Linked DNA regions of Rattus norvegicus. The protein of the gene in region 2 interacts with the protein of the main gene of each other region in a pairwise test. Links are inferred from orthologs where the notes say so. Each region holds a gene or a part of one and is shown on either strand. Other genes may lie near its edges. The genes, in order: Plekhb2, C5h1orf94 and Rbm47.

Region 1 (3,750 bases), on a different chromosome or scaffold from region 2:
AATGAAAAAGGTCAGGAAAGGCAGATACCAGCACCCTATCTACTCCATATTTAGAGGGCACAGGGCCACACTGGTTGTCTGTGTCACAGAAAGGAATCTGCACACACACCCTATTCAAGGTTTGCGGTTCTGAGTTAACCCCTGGTCCAGGCGGCACAGGGAGGCACGCAGGACTCAGCATCCTTAAGAGTGTCCAAACCAAGTTAAACAGAGAGCCTGCAATGCAACCAATGCAACCATGTGGATGGTAAGGAGAGGTGACAGACACCGTAGACCTCAGGGACTAAGCGGCTGGCATGGTAGGCTGCCTCTGTTTCCCCTTCCTTGTGACACCTCTGGCTGCAGCTGACTTACAAAAGGGTGTTCAAAGGTGCGAATGCGCCTCCCTCTCAGATCACTGGCTCTCTGCATAAACTACAACTTAAAGGGTCAGGTTCCAGCTAGAGAGATAGGAGATAGAAAGGGATTGGGACAGGCAGACAAGACAGACATAATGAGAGAAACTGATTTCATAGATTCAGTCTTTATTATCCAGAAATTTACTTACAAAAATAATGTGCTCACACTCTTAATTTACCGAACACCTACTGTGTGTCTGACAGGAAAACACCATAACCCAGTTTTGGTTCATGCCCTGAGGAAGATCGGTGGAAAATCACTCGCACAGAGAATAAACACCATGGACACCAGATAAACTCAGGCAAGAACCTGCCGGGCTAGAGTCTCAAGCCATCTGTCCTAATTATATCCTGCTGACCACCCAAAGTCAAAACTTCTGGGCCCACAAAACAGTCTAAGCATCCTAAGGAAGGAGCCAGAGGCAACGGTTAATCCTAGCTACATGGCTCACTCCTGAAGGCAAGCCCACAGCACAGGCTGGTGGACACACAGCCATGTTTGGTCAATACTCCTTCAGTGACATTCATTGCCCTAAGAAAGTAGGCAATAAATCCCAGCTGCCACCCTGCCACTTCCTGTAAAGAGGGACAAGTCACTTCCTGCATGGATTCTTCAACCTATTCTAGTCAGATGAACACACATGGGGGTGGGGGCGGGGGGGAATTAGTCAGTGTGCTCTGAATGAGCCACGTAGTCTGTCTAGAACCCGTGACTTTCTAAAACACTGGCAATTACTCCACTCCTTCATGAACTCTCTGCCCAAGTCACTCTGCCCCTGAGAGTTGGACACAACAAATTATGCTTACCCAGCATGGAAACCCCTGACCTCCATCTAACTATTGTTATTGCATAACAATAAAAATGTAACAAAAGGGAGTCAGGGTTTGTACAATCAAACACCCGAAACAAAAGGCATTATAATACAGACCATGAAAGTGCAGAGGAACAGAAAGGCCCACCAGAGCAGGGCAAGCCCAGGAAGAAGGAAGCCGGGGGTCTTAGCAAGGCAGTAGCAGTCCCCTGTGAAGTCACAGGAGCTATCAGACTGGTCCTATCATCAGAAGAGCCCCCACCACCTCACCCGAGGGAGGTGGAGAAGAGGAGGGAGAGTCAGGACTAGGCGGCTCTACGGAAGATACCATTAGGACAGGGGACACTGGGAAAGGGATGCGCAGTGCTGGGGAGGATACATCAAGAAGTGGGTCTTAGGGAACCCAGAAAGGACCTTGAGGAAAGGGTAGGGGTACAAGGACTGGTTACTGGGTCAGAAGAAGATAAGATTATGGTGGGGAACACTGGGGAATACCTGCAAGGTCCCAGGGAAAAGGGGAGGGACGCTGGGCTAGACCCTAAGGAAGACTATGAAGAGCTAGGCGGATAGATCAGGAAGTGGGGAAGAGACAGAGACTAGCAGGGGGAAATACAACCAGAATGTGGGACACAAGCGACAGGGGAGGAATCAGGAGCTGGAGGGGAATACAATCAGGATGGGGACACAGGGGAACGCAGTAGCTGGGGGCAGGGGAGGGATACAATCAGGATGGGGGACATTGGGAAGGGGGAGGACACGGGAAGAGGAAGAGAACACAGTCAGGATAGGACACTGGGGAAGAAGAGCCATGAGCTGGGGGTCGGGGTAGGATACAATTAAGAATTAGGACACCGGGGGAGTGGGGAGGAGGCAGAGAGAGTGGCTGGGGTAATACAATGAGGATGGATACTGGGAGAGAGGCAGAAGCTGGAGAGGAGGGACGGTACGATCAGAACAGCAGACATTAGGGACGAGGGAGGGGTGTGGGTCAGAATGGAGGCACTCTAGAAAAGGAAGGCAAGAGCTGGGGAGGAACATTAGGTAAGCGGGAAGGAATAGGGGCTGGGGGGCGGGGGAGTCACGGAGTAAGAGGTGACAAGGGGCTGAGGAAATAGGCGCGGCCAGTAAGGCTGGCGTTCCTCAGAGCCAGGCTTGGAGAGGGGGCGTTGGCGAAGCGGGTTACCCTCGGAGGGGCGTGAGCAGGGCCGAACAGGGTACTCGGACCGAGGAGGTCCTGGGAAGGGGTCGCACGCGGGCGCAGGGGGACACCGCGGGCACAGTCACCTGCGAATGTTCTGGCCGCCAGACAGGGATCAGGCTGAGAGTGCAAGGTCGCCGGCTTCTCCTGCTTCTCCGCTGGACGCGCGAGTCCAGGTCCTGCGTCACCACCTCGCGCCCAGGCGCATGCGCGCGAGGCAGGTGCCGCCCGGGCCCAGAGCCCGAGCCAAGGAGTTGAACTTAACCTGGGCTGTTATCTGTTCAAAGGTGGTTTAAGTATCTTGATCTTGGCGTTTAAAGACAGGCCTTCCTAGAGAGGTGCACGACAGCCGGACTAGGACAATACAAGATGAGCCTGGGGACATCTCTGAACCAGAAATGAAGAACTTCATGCTTAAAAACAGGAAGATGGAGATGTCAAAACTGAATCGGCAAGCAAGGAACAAAACTGGAACTATTAGCAATAGCTCACGTAGAAATGTTATAGCTTAGAACAAATAGAGGAGGAAGGAGCCCGGGCTGTTAGTACAGGACTATAATCCCAGAACTGAGGAGGCTGAATCAGGAGGATAAGTTTGAGGCCAGCCTGGGCTACATAGCCATGGTCTCAAAAACACAAAACAGATAGCGAGGTGGTACACAACCGTAATCTCAGCACTTGAGAGATGTGGTAAGAAGATATGAAGTAGGGCATCTTTAGCTACACAGTGAGCTCAAGACCACTCTAGAATTTCACAAGCTCCTGTTTCAAATTTAAAAAAAAAAAAAAAACTTTTAATTATAGTGCCTTGTGTGTCTCATTTTTTTTTCTAAGTTCTTAGTGTCTCAAACAATGAATTGGACAAGGCACAGAATAGAAGTCGTCCAAGTGTACATTTATTTGGAAAGAAAAAGCATGGAATACACTCCCCAGAATGGGAATTGCCTGAGCAAGCGTAAGACTCAAGACCCCCGTGACCTTTTGTAGCGATCGTTTTATGAGTTCAAATAGAGGGAGGAGCAGATCCCCTAGGGAGAAATTAGGTAGACCCTCTACCCTGATCTACAGGATGTTAAGTAGCTTTGGATCATCTTGGATTGGTGGGTTGTGCATCCTATAGCTTTATGCATGTGCCCCTCTCATGTTTGTACCTGAAACAGTAAGCAGATTTCCGCTAATATTTCACTTCAAGGGAAAACATACACGTATACCCAGTGGTGGTTTAAGATGGACTGGTGTGTCTGCCACATCTGCCCTTCTACCAGAAAATGCCTAACATCAAATTACCTACAGGAGAGATGGGTGTTGCCCCACGGGAAGGAGACTGAAGGGAGGTGTCTGC
Region 2 (3,688 bases):
AGAAAACAAACAAACAAACGAGATTGGATTTCATTTAAAGGGGTGGGGGGGGAGAGGAGCAATTTAAACCAGAACAGCACAGTTTGATAATTATGGAAATTTACATCTACACACACTTGGACCTTCACTGCCTCATGCAAAGACTGCAGGGTTTACAGAAATTATAACTGCTGTCCTTAGAACGAGTTTATCAATCCTAATTACCAGCAGGACCATTGAATAGTCCTGATTTGTCACCTCCAGCGACCCCTACCGTCACTCCCCCATGGCAGTGAGGAAACCAAAGCTCAGATCAGCCTCGCAGTCACAGGTTCTACAGAGGCACACACACTGCCGAACCTGGTTATCCAACTCCGGCGCTCGCTGCCTCGCTCATTGTGTTCTGCTGGGCGGACAGCTATACAGTTAGGATGAGGCTTATTCATCTAAGTCAGCAGATTCCCAGGTCTCCTCTCAGCCTCAGAACTCCTTCAATCGCAACTGTACTCAGAACTCCAGTGAGTAAAGCGGACCAACACCTGAAGAGCTCAGGCTGAAGTGTGTGTGTGTGGTGTGTGTGTAGTGTGTGTATGTGTGTGTAGTGTGTGTGTAGTGTGTATGTGTGTGTAGTGTGTATGTGTGTGTAGTGTGTATGTGTGTGTAGTGTGTATGTGTGTGTAGTGTGTGTGGGTAGTGTGTGTGTGGTGTGTGTATGTGTGTAGAGTGTGTGTGTAGGAGCCCACTTGACTCCAGGATGGCTGTCTGAAGGCTCCTTGGATCATGGAGCTGTGAAGCCTCCCCTCCCCCAAACTCGACGAGCTACATATTAAGGCGGCCTTGTTTGTATAATGCATCTTTCATTTTCTTAGTTTCCCATCACATTGGACCCTCGTTATCGACTCTGAGGTGGACAAGGCAGGGCACGTCGTCCTTAATTTGCAGATGAGGAAATCAAGGCCAAATGGAGTGAAGTAATGAGCCAAAGGTAGGCCGGTTCAATTTCCGGCCAACTGCAGACTGGAAGTAGAGTCTGTCTCCACGAATTCAGTGTGACCTGGCAGGGAAGGGGCTATCTACTGGAAATTGCTGCTGACCTTTGATCCCGAAAGTGGACAATCAGCTACTTGGCCACTGAGAGAGCTGAGTGCAGCCCCAAGGTTCCCCGTGCCAAGGTGCTTGTCCTGGAGCAGATGGCAATGGGTGAGGCAAAGGAGCTCAGAGCCACTGAACGGACTCGCCACAGGATTCTGGATGGAGCAAGGCCGTTTGCATCGGAGCCTGGTCCTGCTGAGCACAGGGCAGGGGAGGTAGAAGCAGCCAGCATGCCTCCCGCCTTCATCTCCAGCAAGCAAAGGAGCTTGCATAGGGACTGCAGCACTACATTGCTTTTCACCTCAGCTATGCTTAGAGAGCCCTGAAACCAGAGGCGGCTGATGAATGCCGGGATGCACCCCGCCCCCTACACACACACTCCGGAGCATCTATGAACTGAGTTGGAGCATGTGTTGGGGGCAGACAACATTTAATTATCACTTAGGCTTTAATTAGCACTTAATTATTAACACTTAATCCATCTGTAAAATGGGGACACTAATACCTGTTTCATAGGGATGCCGGGAGGATTAATTAATGCGAGCAGCCCACTTTGGAGATGCAGAACCCTGAAAGAGTACTCTGCAGTGGCATTAATCACCACAGCTGATGCAGTCCTTTTCCTAATGAGATCCCTGTCTTCCTCTCTGCTCCTTCCTCTTCTTTCCAATAGCCAGCCCCAACGCTATCCCCTCAACTTTTCCCTAGCACTGAAACACTTAGCTCTGTGCTTCCCCGACAGGGGATTTCCCATCCGGGAAACCGGCTATTTACAGCCATCTTCCCACACTTTAATTTTCTATTATGTCCTCTGAATATGTCAATGCCTTCCCAGTAAATATTTTGATGTGCGCTCTTGCAGTAGCTCTGTGGATGCTGAATGGGACAGCTGCTCTCTGTATTAGGGGATTCCAGATGTGGTTTCCAACCACCAGAATCATCTGTGCCAATGCCTGGACTTTTCTTGGGATAGGGGAAAAGATCATCTAGTTGCTTCTGGGGACAGTCATGAGTCACCTAACCCTTAGATCTTCAGGGACCCCAGATCTACATCATAGCCACCTATGTCTTTAAAATAAGAAACTTCTCCTTAGTCACTGGAAAAGAAGCTGCCAGAAATGGCTTCTTTCCTTGCATCTGGGACTTCAGGACCTTGGCCAGCTCCTCCAACCGAAAGATTTTTCAGATTACAGAAACGGGGTTGAGGGTTGAGGCTTGGGGGAGAGATGTGTGTAGGACTTAACACTGGCCCAGAGCATTTCGACCTAAAGTCAGACTTCATTCCCCCCGCCTTTGATAATCAACCAAATAGGGGATTACTCACTCGTCTTGGAAGCTGACAGCGGCTGTCACCGGGGCAGAGAGCTTCTCCAGAGAGGTCCTGGGCTGCAGGGACTCAGGCAAGCCCTGAACTCTCTTCCAGATGTCATGGCAAATCTTGTCTAGGCTATCCTGGGGTGTGTCCTGGTGGATCCAGACATATCTGGGGAATGGCCCCAGGGCGGAGGGACGCTTGGCCACCAGGGCTGAGGATGGAGGGAGCCCATTTCCACTGGCCATCCTCTTTCTCTCTTTTCGGAAGCCCCTTTGTCCGCCCAGGGCTGGGAGACAAAGGGACTGTCCTCCACCAGCCCTCATTCACCAGAAAGGGAGCTGAAGACTGGACCTGGGAAGTAGTCAGTTCTGGCTGGCTGTTGCTCCAGCCAAGGGATGGGTTTCAGAGGCCTTCGGTTTGGGTGAGGATGAGGAGTAGAGGGCAACTTTCTTTTGGGGAGGGGGGGCTTATGTTGACTTCTTTTTATTTGCTCTTTCCTGGCTTTTGCCCCCCTCCCCCTCTCCCGTAGAAGAAAATATTTAAAAGTCAACAAAAACCAGTAACTTAGTAACCGTGGAATGCCCCGGAACTCAGGAACCAAGCGCCTGGGCGGGCAGAATGACATCTGGGAACGACTAGAGGGGAGGACTGGCTCTCCCCACAGGACCCGGCACTCCCCCGTTACGACACCCCTGTGAGACTTTTCAGGGTCTGGGACTCAGCCCATTCTCTCCTGCCAAGTCACCAGAAGGGCAGGGTAAAGGCCGAGCACTGTACTAGACTGGGTGGGTGCCGGCCATGGGACTGTCTCCTCCCACCTTCCCAAAGGATCCCGCGTACACAGAGGGCCCCCCACCCGCCTACTGCAGGTCCTGGCTTTAGCTCTCCCGGTCGCCCCCTTCTGCTTCCCCTTCTCTCTCTGCTGCAGCTGCTCTGCCTCCCTAAAAAAGAAATGTCCAATGCGGTATTGTGCCGGTAGTCGGCCTGGCCCAGGTCCTCAGCGGACACTTGTCGCGTCCCCCGCGCAGAGCTGCGACCCGCACCGCAGAGGATCCCAACCCTTAAAAGGCCGCCGATTGGGCAGGGCAGGCCCGGGCGGGGTCAGCGGATTTGCGTGTCAGTAGCTCCCACACCCCTGCCGTCGAGAGCTGGGATTCTTTCAGTGGGTTCAAGCGCAACGGCTGGGTGCGCGGGGGTGGGGCACGGGCCGGGCGTTCGTCCCTGAGACTCGCAGGTGGAATGGGGGCGGGGTGGGACTGGAAAGACCCCAGGGAGCTTCCTCTTAGAAGTAAGTCAAAGTGA
Region 3 (3,750 bases), on a different chromosome or scaffold from region 2:
CAAGAAAGCAAAACAATATTAAAGAAGTTCATGAAATGTACCCAGTAGAATGGTGCAAGTAAACAGAAAATATCAAGAAATAGGTCATCCGTCAGGGATGGAAATGGGTGGTGGGGTTGAATTGATGTCATTTCTCTTATTCTCTCTGCGTTCACCATGCACATGTGGAGTTAATATTTCAGTTGAGCCCTGATGCATGAATAAAAACAGCCTGGAAGTGAGCTAACTATTCTCAAGCTCACATGGACAGCAAGGTGACTGAATGTGAAGAGACCATCAAGGGAAATGCACTACTCGAACCTCACAAATTATTTTTAGAAAGTATAGGTTATCGAGTGCCATCTAATATCAGAAAATGTGATTCACTTAGTCATTTCTACTTTTCCCCAAATCCCCACTTATGGTAAAGCTAGAATGAGAGTGGCCCACAATGGCCAACAGAGTTTCTCCTTATAAACCAAACCCGGTGTAAAGCAGGGGAGGGGCGGACCTGGTAAACTCTGTCCTGAAGATTATGTTAACAGATTGAGCACTAACTGATCTGGAATTTGGACACTGACTCCCCACGCCGAGTGTTCTGATGTTGAAAGTCTAACTGAATCTTGTTCTGACAGAAAATCCTGTAACTATGGTAGCATAAATGCAGCCCTGCTGTTATCTCAGGCCCGACAGAGAGCGGCCAGCTCACTGTAGACCTTTGGTACTAGGAGGGGCAGCAAACACAGCCAGGAGTTTCTTCCTCCTTCTCACAAGTCTGCCAGGAAAGGGGCTGGAAAGATTTCATATTTTATATTGGAATCATACATAGGCTCTGTCCACAAAAAAACAAAAAAGCAGCACTAGGGAAACTTCTGGAAAAACCCCTGGTACTGTGGGTAGGCTAGCTTAGTTTCTCCGATGTGGCATGAGGAACAATTGACTTTTCTGTGAATGGTGCAGTCATCTACCTAAAACTCCCCACTCCCAACCACAGTGAGCATGTCCTCTCTCGTTCCCTCGGTTTCCAAATAAATATCCTTATAACAGACATGCACACAGATGTGCACAGGCAAGCTTAAAATACTATCAGCTTCTGGTGTTCTTGTGTTGGGATTTCATGAAGCCAAAAGACTAACAGATTTCACTACTGTATGCTAGTTACATGAGCTGTATCTGTTTCCCCAAACTTTCTCTCGACTACCTGTGGGACAAACAACTTTAGTCTGCAAGAAACGATGCAGACGAAGGCTGAACGCATCTGTGGCATCTTATTAACTTCTGCCTGGGCTATGCCTTCACTTAAGATAAAGAACCAATGCCCAGAATCCAGAAACAATCACGGACTCAGCTGTAAAGCAGGCAGCAACTTGATTAACATGGGTGGATGCCTTGAACACACATTTCTTCAAGATACAAGCATCGTTAATCCTTAGGGGCCAGAAAAAAGCCGATATGCCACTTTACCCTTATTATAATGTCGATTGTCAAGACAAGCCCCTATACTGTGGCCAGTTAGGTAGACTCTTTGTACAGTGATGGCAACAGTGTAAAAAATTAGGGTGGAAAACAATCTGCTGATACTTCAGGGAAAAAAAGAAAGAAAGCCTGTAAATACTTTGATTTACCAACTCCTACTGCTGGATGTAAATCTAAAATAAAAGCAGGACTCAGGTGTTCTTGGGCATATTATTCACAGTAGCCAAAACCAGGGAATACCCTGATGTCTGCTGATGGATAAGAATTAACAAAACCTGGTCCATGTCTTACAATGGAATATTATTCAGCCCTACAAATGAACCCTGAAGACGTGCTTTGTGAAGCAAGCTGGTTATGAAAGAAAGGACAAAGGGTCATGCATCGGAAAGTCTGAAGTGACAGCTACTTCTGCTTTAAATAACAAGCAAGAAGGCCAATTTGCAGAAGCTATGGGGACAGCTCCCAAATCAAATACCATCATACCAAATCTTCTGTCTGTCTTGTACAGAGACCCTTCCTTGCGTACCAGGCATTGAAAAATGTCAAAATACTGATGACTACAGGTTGTGGTGGTGCCTACCCATAATCTTAGCATTTGCTGGACGGAGGTGGGAAGATCAAAAGTTCAAAGCTACCTTGGACTACAAGAGACTCTTTCTTAAAAACATAACAATGAGGGGGAGAGGTTGTGGGAGGGGGACAGTGATCAGGATATATTGAATAAAATTTAAAAAACCCAATAGACAAAACAAGAAAGGAAGGAAGGAAGGGAGAAAGAAAGAAAGAAAGAAAGAAAGAAAGAAAGGAAGGAAGGAAGAAAGAAAGACAGACAGACAGACAGACAGACAGGCAGACAGGCAGACTAATGTTGTTTGAGATGTCACAGGTAGACTGTGAGCAGTCCAGGTTACTCCAGTCTCTTTCTACAGGAAGAGATGTGTCCTTTCAAGCCACTCAGATGTGATATGCACAGATAAATAAGGATTTATAGTGCAGTTTCAAAGAAACTCATTGTCCCGTGTAACATTCCACTAATTCACCATGTAAACACCAAGGTATACATCACCTCACAGGTGTCCTGTTGGATAGGAAGGGGAATTATGTTCTTACTTAAATAGGGAAGAAAAGGATTCTAGGAGGTGCACTCACCAAAAGTCAGCAATTTGATTGGTCTTTCTATGGAAGGTAGAACAAGAGAATTCGCGAAGATTCAGGCAGCTCACTTGGGATTTCTCTGTTCAGTTCTTGAAGTATTCTTTGAGGCAAACCCTAAAGCAGTGAAGAAAATGTTAGGAATGTTTTGATTTTCTTCATTTCAACATAAGTTTCACACGGGCCTAGAAATTGAGGATGTTTTCTTCCCAAAATGAACTATCTTTACTCCGATTACTCAAGAAACCATTATTCTTATGTCCTCTAGAAAGCAAGAAACGTAACTCATTATCTTATCCTTGAAGAAATGGGGAAATGAGACAGGAACAGGAGCATTCTCTTTCATTTGGTGTGGTTTGACCTTTAGAGCAGCCATGACTTAGAGATGTGCATACTGCTTAGGAAAATTACAGTTGTAGTCCAGAGACTCACAAAAAGACCTACCTCCTTATATACCGAGATAAAAATATCTAGCTCGAGGTCTCCTACATGGCTTGTGGAGTTATGTTACACATCACTAACAAATCATTACTAGTGCCTGACCTCATCCACAGCCTGTCCCCAAGGCCACAGGGACAAGGCTGAGCAATCCACCTGCAATTAATCAGAGTTGGCTTGAGAGTGACTGCCTCGGCCCTAAAGTCACAGTCAAGATTTCTTGAGGGTTTTTTTTTTTTTTTCAGGGAGAGGATTATGAAAAAATGAAAAGTATCAGTTCAGATCTTAAGTTAGTGTTAGAAATCCTACTAGTATAAAATATTCAAATGAAAGGAATGCAAAATCAAATTAAAATGTTCAAGACACGAACACAGACATGTGAGATATCTGGGGACACACTCTACCCAGTCTTTACAACTATCAACAGACCTGGAGAGCCAAATGGCTTGTGCGTCCAAATTTCTTACATCCACTATGGTGCCATGAGTGCAGCACTAGAGTGTGGGGTGGAAGATTAGATTCCCAACGCCTTCATGACCATGTCCTGGCCTGAGACACAGACATGCTATATACCCCAGAATGGCCTGAAACTGGTAATTCTCCTGCCTCTGCCTCTTAAGTGCTAGGGGTCCCAGGCATGTGCCACCATGTCTTTCCCTCTGGTCTCTGATTTTATGCAAACCCCTTTGCTTATTTAAAGTAATG

The links.
Region 1: the proteins of C5h1orf94 (region 2) and Plekhb2 interact in binary tests that used the Homo sapiens proteins (3 or more experiments, as listed by UniProt). The two-hybrid records come from large-scale screens. The link is inferred for Rattus norvegicus from reciprocal best matches to the Homo sapiens genes C1orf94 and PLEKHB2.
Region 3: the proteins of C5h1orf94 (region 2) and Rbm47 interact in binary tests that used the Homo sapiens proteins (3 or more experiments, as listed by UniProt). The two-hybrid records come from large-scale screens. The link is inferred for Rattus norvegicus from reciprocal best matches to the Homo sapiens genes C1orf94 and RBM47.

What each region holds. Positions count from the first base shown.
Region 1 is NC_086027.1:44,544,313-44,548,062, reverse strand, and holds the start of Plekhb2 (pleckstrin homology domain-containing family B member 2), read right to left. Parts: upstream 2,591-3,750; 5' UTR 2,495-2,590; intron 1,487-2,494; exon of another isoform or gene 1,328-1,486; intron 1-1,327. UniProt on the Homo sapiens protein: Involved in retrograde transport of recycling endosomes.
Region 2 is NC_086023.1:145,607,439-145,611,126, forward strand, and holds the start of C5h1orf94 (uncharacterized protein C1orf94 homolog), read right to left. Parts: upstream 2,857-3,688; 5' UTR 2,710-2,856; coding exon 2,396-2,709; intron 1-2,395.
Region 3 is NC_086032.1:42,514,592-42,518,341, reverse strand, and holds the start of Rbm47 (RNA-binding protein 47), read right to left. Parts: upstream 2,722-3,750; 5' UTR 2,605-2,721; intron 1-2,604. UniProt on the Homo sapiens protein: Single-stranded RNA-binding protein that functions in a variety of RNA processes, including alternative splicing, RNA stabilization, and RNA editing. Functions as an enzyme-substrate adapter for the cytidine deaminase APOBEC1.